Caenorhabditis elegans: one gene and its partner. The protein of the gene in region 1 purifies or fractionates together with the protein of each later gene. This does not show direct contact. Each region holds a gene or a part of one and is shown on either strand. Other genes may lie near its edges. The genes, in order: mtx-2 and immt-1.

Region 1 (4,340 bases):
TACCTAGGCATTAATGAAAATATTAAAGGAAAATAGTAAAAAATTCTAAAAAAACATACAAATCGCAAAAAAAAAGTCGATGGGTGTTGTTTCTTTCAATATACATTCTGTATTCGATTATTTTTGCGTTTTTTTCAAATATGAGAAATTTTTCAAACTTGATTTTTCTTGATTTTTCAGGAATAGATTTAGTAATCTATTTATTATGCAAGAAATACTAAATAATTAAAAGATCACCCTCACTAATACAATATTTAAGCTGATTATCAATACAAATGTTGTCTTAATACAACATTTTCTTTCACACTTGTCGATTGATTTCGGTATACTTATGACGCGGTTTCATACATCACTAACAACTTAAAACTCACTAGCTATTACAGTGTGAACATATAGGAGAAGACGGCAATGGCAAAAGTCAAGATAAATAACTTGAAGCTATACAGAGAAACTGTCAAAAGAACAATTATGCCAGCTTGTCAAATGTACAAAAAGAGCCAGAAGTGATGACAACGACATCTATAAACATTGCAACCACAAGAATCATAACCGTAAATTCGAGCTCCACAGAATATAACTATTTTTCTAGTTTTCTTTCATTGGATCTTATATTGAAGCTTTGAAATATTCATGTTTCAAGTTAAAAAAAATTATCGCGTAACTCTAAAAAGTTGTTAAACATATATTATCAAAATTTATTCGTTTTTCTTAAGAACAATCTGAACACACCATAAAATCATAGTTGAACTACTATACACTTCTCAAACGAAAAAATTCTAAAATTACTGCTTGAAATACTGTTGTTCGATTCTTTTCGTGAATTCAATCAAATTGGAGTACTTCTTCAGAATATTTGTGATGTTTGTCAATGGCAATCTGACAGTTATCAATGTGTACATATGTCCAAAGAGTAAAGCATCAGCTTCGGTTGGAAGATCTCCAGTTAGATATTTTTGACTTCCCAGTTGAGCAGAGAGAGCACGGAAAACTTTATCGGCTTGTTCACCGACTTCGTCCATTGTCTGAAAGAAAGGAGTTTTAAGGGAAATTCAAAAATAACCTATTTACATACCTTGGTGTCCCAGTCCTTATCAGACAACTCTTCAAGAATCTTTCGACGCTTAACAAAAGGCAAGACAGACGAAAGTGGCCAGTGATAAACACTTCCGTATCTCAACTTTGTCACCTTATCGTACGTCTCGTCGTGGTTCCAGAGTACAAACTTCTGAAAAAATTCAATTAAAAGTTAAACAGCTATATTAATTTCAATTTATTTCATTTTTAATAGATAATCAAAAACCGAAAATGTTTGATTGTTTCGGAAAAAATCCTAAAAAAATTAGGAAACAGTTTCTAAATTTTTACCAACGTTAGTTTTAACAATAAAATAATTTAACAAAATTCTGAAAATAAGAAAAATAATCGAAATTTCAAGATATATTTCGAGCGGCAATTGTTTTGGGCAAATTTCTATCATTTTTTTAAATTAAAATTTGTATAAAAATATAGAAATTAACATTAATTTTGTCTGAATCATTTGAGAAAGTTCTCGGAAATACCCTGAAAGTTGTCAATTGCCGATTTTGAAGCATTGTTTTTTCTTTGTCCGTCAACTTTTATTCAATTTTTGAGAACATTTTCAAATGTTTCAGCCGAAATGAATAATATTTTCAGATTTTCTATTTTTTGACAGTAATATTCTTTTAGAAAAATAATGGAACCACGTGGCACAATCAGGGATGGGACTTATTTGGTTTTTTTTTTGTTTTTAGTATTTTGACGATAATTGTCTAATATATAAATTTTTCATTGAATATTACCTCGACAGTGGTAAGAAGATGTTCGATCATCGAAATATTAGCTCTCATGTCGGCAACTTGCGTTTCGCTGAGATGTGATGTAAGAGTGACTCCTTTCTTATGCACGAAGTCGACAATGGCGTTGAACCCTGTGATGAGAGTTTTGTTGATTTTCAGAAGTGGGACGACTCCTTAAAATTATATCTGCATTCGAGGATTTCAGTACTTTCAATATCTAACCATCAGGAGAAATAAAATCTACATTCGGTCGTTGACGAACATTGAATGGCAATGAAGTCATTCGAAGGAATGTTTGAACGGCGAGGCAATCAGCAAAATCGTACATGAGAGCTTGGTCATCTGGAAATATTATATAATTTCGCAAAAAAAACACCAAGGCTGCTCACTGAGATAAGGTGTGAAGAGAGATACATCTTCCCAATCCTGAGCTGCATTCATCGACAAGGCATCAGTGACCAATTGGGTTATCACCCCGGAGCTGCTCATCTGAAAAAGAGCAAAAAAGCGTATAATTGATTATTTAGAATTTCCAAAGTATTAAGAAGGTTGTCTAGACCACTCCGTAAAAAATTGAAAAAAAAGTATTGAAAACTTATATTTAAAAAATGAATATTCATGAAAATAAACAACTGTAATTCTTTAAAAAACCAACAATGAAAAAATTGAGTTCAACAATAAAAATAACAAGAAAAAAAGGAAATCAACAAAAATAGAATCACTCGGTCGTCTTCTTTTTGAGCCAAGGCTTCTCTCCGCGAGCATTTGGTCGACTTTTTCTCTTTGCTTCAAATCCGGATCGTTTAGCAATTTGTCTGCTTCCTCCGGTTTTCGCTTGTGACGAGACAGTTGCTTTGAGACTTTCCAAAGCTTTTGAGTATCTGAAAAATGTTGATGATGATTTCAGGTTTAATTTTTAATTTTTTACCTATCCATATCTTTTTCAAAAATGTACTCTTCCATTTGCTCTTCTACAGTATCTCCCCATAAATTTGTAACTTTTAGCATTTTGACGAAAAGTCTCTTTGATTCCTTATCTCCAACACTAATCACATATCCATCTTGTCCAGCTCTTCCAGTTCTTCCTGCTCTGTGCACGAATAGTTTGTCATCGGCAGGCAAATTGTAGTTGATGACACAATCAACCTTGTTCAAATCAGTTCCTCTTGCCAACACGTCCGAGCAGATCAGAACTCGGTTTTCATTTTTATTGAATTTTTCGAGCATTTTGTAACGTCGTTTTCCGAATAACTGAGCCGTGAAATAGTCTACCTCAAACTGATCCTTGCACAATTCTTTAAGAACGTGCGCGAGCCGATTTGATGATGAAACTTCATTGACGAAGATCAAAGTCCTGTTGAATTTATTTCTAGTGATTTGTTGATAAACTGCTAGCGGATGGAACTTTGGATCCGTTACAACGAGGCGATGAGAGATTGAAGAAGGAAGGGCAAGTCTACCAGATACATGATCAACTTGAGGGATTCCAGATGTGATCTGAAAATTGTAAAAAGTAAAATAAACGAAAATATTTTGCATGACGATTTAAAAAAAACGAATTTGGTTCGGTTGAAAATATCAAAATGAATTCTGATGTACTTTTTATAATTTTTAAAAACACTCACATCCTTTACAGAAACTGCTGTTGCTGAAAATAATCTCGGTTTGAACAAATTCCATAGATGAAGCTCTTCCACATCTTTCGATAGTGTTGCAGACAGAACAATTTTCTGAGGAGCTCTTCTTTGTCTAATAATATCTTTTAAACAAGCCACTCGTTCCATTCCACCGCATAAGAATTCTACTAAATCCAACCATTCTTCTCTCATAAGCTTTCCCATTCGATCCGCTTCATCCACAATCAAGAATCTTAATTTTGAAAGGTCAATCGGAGGTGGAATTTTTGAAGTGAGGTGTTGCACAAGTCTCGCTGGAGTTGCCACGATAACATTAGGAGGATCTGATGCCAATTGACGAGCTTCTTTCTCAAAATCGTTTGCTCCACTAAGTGATACTACTTTTGCAACACCACTTTCGTCATTCCATCGTCTTAAAATCAGAATTAAAACATACATTTTAATGTTACTTAATACATACTTGAACTCGTCCACAATTTGTGCAACAAGTGTTTGAACTGGTACTAAAATAACAGCTTGTAGAATTTTGGATGGTTTGCTCCCGACAGCCGCCAGAACTGGGAGCACATAGCAAATTGTCTTTCCACTTCCAGTTGGAGCTGCGATCGCCACGTCACGTGGACGTAGTGGTGGTGGTGATCGGATTTCAAAGAAAAGAGATGGAAGAACGGCATACTGAACTGGAAACCATGTTGAAATTGCAGATGGGACTGTGAGATGCTCAGGAAGCTCAATTTGAGAAAGTTTTTGTGATGTTGAAGAATCGATTGTCGCTGAGAAAGTAGTGGCGTTTTGAACCCAGGAACTCGTTACTCTGCAAATCATCAATTTAGTTACAATTGAATTATTCTATTCAAAATATTTAATTAAATTATTCTCACTTTAG
Region 2 (6,934 bases), on another chromosome or scaffold:
TTCCAAACATTCAACGTTTTGCATGAGTTTTACTTCTAAAGTGAAATGATTTTGATTCTTTGCACGTGACACTGTTTCAAAATTGTACGTATGATATTTTCAGATCTCGACGCAATGACAGTCACGAAGCAAGTGACGTCTAGCACACTACACATTATGTACCATTTCATAATTTATTAACTATTTTTTTCTCATCTGATTTATTCTCATTTTCAATTTGTCGGTACACAAGTAAGGTTACGTGACTTTCCTCTCCCGTTGTATAATGCTTCTCATGCTTTCTAGCATTGCAATTATGTGCATTTCAGAAGGTGTGTGACACCTATTGCCTCAACTTTGTATAAAGTTTTATAACTTCTGAATAAATGTATTGGACAGTATAACAACCTATAATTTTGGAAGTCCATCAAAACAGAAAATGTTGGTTACATATTGTTTTGAAAAGTATAGCAATTCGCCAAAACTTTGACTAGAAAAAAAATTGTTTCGGCAGTTTGAAATTACGACAAAAATGTAATTTTTTTTGTAAAATCGCAACTACATAGACGGATAAATTGTTCAAATTTGAAATTTTATTTTTTTTAAACCTCAAAAATTTTTTTGGATATCATTTAAAATATCTCATTAGTAAATTCGGTCTTTTGGATCAATTTGTTAACCACCCGATGTCTAAAAATTGTATAAAAACAAATGAATTTCCTTTTGACACCATAAGTGTGACTTTTAACAATTTCCCCAACTGCCGCAACTGCACTTCTAGAGATTCTTTATTTGTTTGTCTCAAACTTCTACAAATCATACTTATTTCTGGTAAAAAATTGTAAAATTTTCACATTTATTCAATACATCGACGGTTCGAAAAACTACACAAACTTGGAAAAAATTGACGGCGAGAGTTTGGAAAAAAAAACGGGGAGAAAATGTGCACACACCCATCTACTATAAACTACCAACAAGAAATTGGTTTCTAAAAGACACACACACAATACTACTAGCAGCAAAACGTTTTTAAAACATTTGGATCGTTTTAAATAGGGTGAGAAATAGAGAAAAATAAAATGAGTGTAGTGAAAACCAGTAGAACACAATTTTAAAAAACGGTGACGCAAGACAATCAATTGTTCTAATAAGTTGAGCGAATCGAGGAGACGGCGGCGTGAGCCACAAGAAGCTGGGCGAGAAGGCGAGACTCGAGGTAGGAGCGGGTGTCGACGATCCAGTCACGAGCAAGATGAGCTGGCTGACCCTTCAAAAGTTGAACAACGCGAATCGCCTTATCGAGATCACCATTGTGTACGTACTGCTTGGCGCGGGAAAGGATCTGAACAAAAATGTTTCACTAGTCTTACAAAACGTTTGAATTCTAATTTTAAAAAAACTTGATATTTTTTGTACGGACATCGTACGGGACTGGGAAGCTCTCGGAATAAAGAACAAGCATTTTAATAAAAATTATGAGATAAGAATTTTGATTTTTTTGATCGGAATAAGAATGTTGCCATTCGAATCAAATTTATTTTTCACAACGGGGTCATATTTATAGAGACCCGAGTTATGAAGACAAAAGCCCGATTTTTACAAACCTGACAGTTTTTAAACGTGGGTTCATTACGTTACTTAAAGCTGACATATTTTTAATGATATTTAACATGACTACTAATCAACCACGAAGTCATACGAGCGTATCTCACAATCTGGAGTATTCTTATAAAAGTACGGAATTTCTGCCGGATTCTAAAAAAAAAACAGTGGAAAACGCCAAAAGTGATCTGCTAATCTGCTGCCAAAAATCCAACCTCAAAATTTCTAAGAGTCAGGAGCAACGTGGATGGAAATATTTTTAAATTTTTTAAATGGAATCATGACCAGATTTTTATGGAATATGTGAGCTATACAATTTTATGTATCATGTTCAATCACCTAGGGGTTGCAGAGCAGAGTTGTTTACGTATCCGCATAATTATGACCCACTCTAATGTATTCTGTACTCAAATCTATCCTCACCTCATAGTTATCAGTGTTGTTCACATCAATAGCATCTAAATTTCCATACTGTTGTGGCATATCCACGAGGAACAGGGATTTGACGTACGACCAGAAATAGGCTCCTAAGGTTCCTCCGTTCTCATCGATAGAAGCAGTCTTGCGACCAATCTTGTACAGTTGCTCGAAGCGGTTTTTGAGATCCTGCTCAGTGTATGTGCCAACTGTGGTCGCTTGTTTTGGGAACGAGTCGATGATGGCGTTGACAAACTCGTCTTCTGGATTGACCTGAAAACGATAAATTCAGATTAAAATGAAAATGTAGAATAGTAACAAAATGTAAAAAAGTTGATTTCGTTGACAAACTCGCTAACCTCCTTGAGAAGATTCAAAGACTCGTTCAATGGAAGTCTTCTCTCATCAATGTTGTTTCCGGCCTTGTTACCATGTTTCAAAGTGTCAATCAAATTATGGCACGCAATCCAGAACTGCTTGGCGCGACGGTTTTCGTTGTCAAGAGCAACTCGGCTTCCGAGAGCCTCTTCGATTCCCTCCAGTCGGCTCAACGCAGCACCAACTTGCTTGCTGTGAAGATTGCGCTCTTGCAAAACTGCCTCCTCTACCTTCTGATTCTGTTCAATCTCGAAGAGTTGTCTCTGAGTCCGGATGACTTGCTCCAAGTGCTCAGAGTGAGCCGAGGCGGTGCGCTTCAATTGATTCTCCAGCTCACCTTCCCATGATGAACGGCTTTCCACAAGCTGAAATCAAAAAGTGGAATATTTGAGGAAAAACAACTTTTAACCCCAAATTTGATAACAAACTTACAGCTCGTTCGATTTCCAACTCATTCTGACGGCCAACACGGCTCATCTCAATGCTCAATTTTTCAGACGCGATCCGCTCATCGGCAAGTCGCTGCTCTTCAAGAGCCTTTGAGATGTGCAGTTCCTCGCGAACTTGCTGATCCGAAAGCTGACAACGAAGCTGGTCAACTTTGAGATGAGCGTGAGCGATCAATGCATTCAGTTCGTCTTCGTTGAGATTTTTGTCCTGAAAATGAATTTATGTGAACTTTCAAATTTGTATTTTAGGAAACAATGTCAAAAAGGCTTTTCGTTTAGTCAAAAATTTTAAACGTTTGATATTCGACTTTCAATTTGTGAAAAATAACAGAAGCCTTTCCTATCAAATCCTCAGCTGAAATATCTTCCTGAATCAGTCAGCATCTATAAAAAATTGTAAAAATTGTGATCTCAAATATATTTGTACTGTAACTATTTGTACTAAAGGTATGTTGTATTCTTCTGACTTTACCGAGAGTACATATCAACTATAAATATAATTTTTGCTTTTGACTACAAAAATTTCATAAATGCACCTTAGCAAAATCATAGGCTCATTTGAGCCTATTACAGAAATTCATTATTTTATAAAAAACCGAGGATGGACTCCATTCCTTCTATTTTTTTCGTCACTCACTTTAGCGTGAATATCAACATTTGGCAAGATGCTCTTCATCTCAAGAGCAAACTGTTGACGAGACTTCTCAATCAAATCCTTGTACTGATTGAGGACTGCAGATTCTTGACGAGACTGAAAACAATTTTGACAATTTTTGGTAAAAGTGCCAATGCATGTAATACCTTGTTGACCAATGCGTTGATCTCATCAAGCTGATGAGAAAGCTTATTAGCAGTCTCTTGAGCATTCAGAAGTAGCGGATTTGTGGCGGTAGTTGAATCTCGCTTTCCATCGTTCACAATCTGTAAATGTCCGAATTGAGAAAAATAAATAGTTATTATTAAAAATTTGCATTTAATCAAATATTAAACAAGCGTCTCTATTTTCAGTTGCATTTAATTCCTTTTCGTAAATGAGCTTGGAAGAGGTCCTTTTTACAAATTTTGAAAAAAAAACAGGGTCGAAGTATTGCAACAAGACAAAAATCATAGGACCTGTCACATAATAACTTGTGTAGCAGTTCAAAAACAGGCACTAGATAGCCGAACTTCCGCAGACCGGACGACAGATTTAGTCCGGTTTAGTCAAGTCCTAGTTTCCAATGGTCTAACGACTCTGGGTATTTTATTATGAAGGTGTAAGACCAAAATGTGCTCATTAAAAGAATTTCGCAATGAAGTTTCTCAAAAAATTTAAAAATTTTGTGTCATTGCGGTTCAAAATTTCAAACATAAATTTTTTTTTGGGTGTTAGGCTGTACCAAAAGATACCTTGCGAAGGTTATCAATGTAGTTTCTCCCGTCCACCTCTTGGCCACTGTCGACGCGTGCCTCAGCTTCGGCTCTTTGAAGAGCAGAAGTGACGTTTTCCCAGTTGGCGTGCTTAGCATCATCGACGGTTTGCTTGAGAATACTGGCATGCTCATTGATCGCATTGATGGTCTTCAGCTTGGCCTCAGTGGCTAAACGCACTTTTCCTTCAGCAGAGTGAATTGCGATTTTAAGCTTCTCCTCAAGTTCTGTAACTTTAAACTGTTATGAAAATTACGCTTAAAAAATCTTACGTTGGTTCTTGGCAAAGACGACATCTGGAGAAGGTTTTGGGATCATTGGGGTCACATCTTTGCGAACATCCACTGGGTCAACATGTGTGGGCTCTCTTGGAAGGACAGGCGGCAGTGGCGCGAGCTCCAATGGAGGAAGAACTTCCTTCTTTTTTGGGACAGCGTTCACTACAGCATCCTTGAGGTCACCGATCTGTTGTTTTGTCTTCCTGAAAAAGGATTATCGTTAAGACTGTCACTTTTTTAGTAAATAAAGCTTACTGCAAGCTAGATTCTCCCAAAACTGCGTCGAAAACTTGTTTCACTGGCGGAACAGTGGATTCGACTTTGTGACGGAACTCAGGGTCGACATACGCGTATCCGACAACACCACCAGCTCCAACAACGGTTGCTCCGACAAGAGCCAATCCTTTGCCACCTCCGGATTTTCTGAAATACGACGCGTTTTTATTATCGATTTTGGTGTATGTTTTACTTTGGTGGTTGAACTGGTGGCTTCGGTGGAGCAGCGGCTTGATTTGATTGTTGACGGGCTCTTTTCAACGTCTGGCTGACTGATCGCTTCTGAAATGAAAAAATTATACATTTAAACTAAAAATTGCATTTTTTTAATGAAAAAAAAACTCACCGATGCAATACGAAACATTTCCGCGACGAGCAGCGAATAATTTACCTAAAAAGTAATAAATTTTACAACGAAATTTTATATAAATCAAGAAAAAATCAAAATAATCAAGAGAGTGCAATCGAAAAAGAAATAAACATATTGTTTAGTGTTCGAAGATTAAGTTGCGCGTCATGCACGAGAAACGCGCCAGCAATCGATGTCTGTGTATCTTTTGTAAGTGCGTACGGGACGACGGGAAGAATGGCTGTGTGGGGAGGCATTGGAAGAGTGTGGCAGGGAAACAAAGGGAAATTGCCGATGCATTAAACGTTTGGGACATTTTGAACGCATAAACCCAAAATGAGCTCAAATAAACGAATTTTATAATGAAACTTCATTAAAAATTTTCAAAAAGTAGTTTTTGCCGGTTGAAAATTTCGAAAAAAAAACGTATTTCAAGTGAAATCTCCAATTTCGGCCATTTTTCCGTATCGCACACCTGGTCCATAAAAATTTTCCAACACTTTTAAAAGTGATTATTTAATCAAAACGCGGAATTTGGTTGTATTTTTAAGCTTAAAAAAACTTTAGTCCTAAGCCTAATATCGACAAAAAGGGTAACGTTAATTTTTCAGAATTGTAAACACTACAGAAGTACCGTAATTTTGTTAATTAAAATACATTTAAAACCGATAGGAAAAAATTATAGTATTAAAATAGCAGCTTTGGATTACTACGACTTGGAAAAGTGGCCAAATTTAAAGATATTTGAAGTGCCATAAACGTCCTAAAATTTTATGCAACATGAATTTTTACTGTTCTGTGTAACTTTTCAATTTAGAAATCAACATTTGTACGCAAAAAAGTGCAGCAAAAGTGCAGCATATAGTACCAGATATTTCCTTAAACTTCAGAAAAATGTTTGCTTTATTTGAAAACATCTTTAATATAATTCATAAAAATAAAAATAAAAAACTGCTTAGAAATTGTCTCTAATTTAATAAGAGCCGGAAAAATATCCCACAAATTATGGAAAATAATTTCCGGCAATTTTCAACTTGCATACTATTTTTGAGCATTTTTACAGTTGTTTCATATTAAATAAAACATTACTTTTAGATTAAAAAAAAAGTGTTTTTCTATATTTTATTTTTAACATTTAATAAAATATATCACTTTTTGCTCATTTTGGCTCATTTTGTAGATTTGCCGAAATTGCCGCGCACCCCTGATATGTACACTTTACCGGAAATTTTTAAAAATTGATAATGCACTAAAAAAATAGTAGAAACCATTAGAAACCAGTGTACAATTGATAAATGGTGTTTGTATCTGGGCATTTCATGTTGAAAAAAAATCGCCAAGGTCATTTGTTTGGTTAGGCCAGTGTACTTGAAATTGGTAGTGTTAGAACTTATATTTTATTTTTAAAATAATTGATTTTCAATTTCTTTTTTCATTTTTCTTCCAATTAACTCTTTCCATTCAAATAGAATTTTGAAATATACAAATTCTCAGTCACCATACACAACTTATTAAAGCGCAAGAATTTTAACATGCCCAGCAATGCTTAAGAGACGCAGAGTATATTCACCGTAGTTTGAAGCGAGGGTCTCGAAGCGATGTGGCAGTGAGAGTGGGGCTGCCTTTTCCTCGGGTTTGCACCCTCTCATCCGCCGCTATTGATTCTCTTTCTTTTCTCAATTTCCCTCGGGCTCGATGGGCTCGCTGCTTCTTTTCATTTTCGTGTTTTTTTTTCGTCAGCAGGCACATTGAATAAATATTCCGAGGCAGGGTCACAGAAAATTCTATGTCAACTT

What was found.
Region 2: the proteins of mtx-2 (region 1) and immt-1 fractionate together in Caenorhabditis elegans (co-fractionation; one large-scale study listed by BioGRID). This does not show direct contact.

Annotation. Positions count from the first base shown.
Region 1 is NC_003281.10:7,761,298-7,765,637, forward strand, and holds mtx-2 (Metaxin-2 homolog), read right to left. Parts: upstream 2,307-4,340; coding exon 2,207-2,306; intron 2,160-2,206; coding exon 2,040-2,159; intron 1,991-2,039; coding exon 1,821-1,990; intron 1,226-1,820; coding exon 1,073-1,225; intron 1,023-1,072; coding exon 783-1,022; 3' UTR 680-782; downstream 1-679. Other genes in the region: Putative ATP-dependent RNA helicase ZK686.2, read right to left, coding at 2,536-2,698, 2,746-3,314, 3,443-3,866, 3,915-4,268, 4,336-4,340. UniProt on the Caenorhabditis elegans protein: Involved in transport of proteins into the mitochondrion.
Region 2 is NC_003284.9:2,682,005-2,688,938, forward strand, and holds immt-1 (MICOS complex subunit MIC60-1), read right to left. Parts: upstream 5,181-6,934; 5' UTR 5,154-5,180; coding exon 5,136-5,153; exon of another isoform or gene 5,072-5,135; coding exon 4,983-5,071; intron 4,937-4,982; coding exon 4,769-4,936; intron 4,717-4,768; coding exon 4,508-4,716; intron 4,463-4,507; coding exon 4,215-4,462; intron 3,747-4,214; coding exon 3,627-3,746; intron 3,577-3,626; coding exon 3,463-3,576; intron 3,034-3,462; coding exon 2,809-3,033; intron 2,742-2,808; coding exon 2,358-2,741; intron 2,272-2,357; coding exon 2,005-2,271; intron 1,322-2,004; coding exon 1,124-1,321; 3' UTR 750-1,123; downstream 1-749. Other genes in the region: ser-7 (G-protein coupled receptors family 1 profile domain-containing protein), read left to right, coding at 104-143.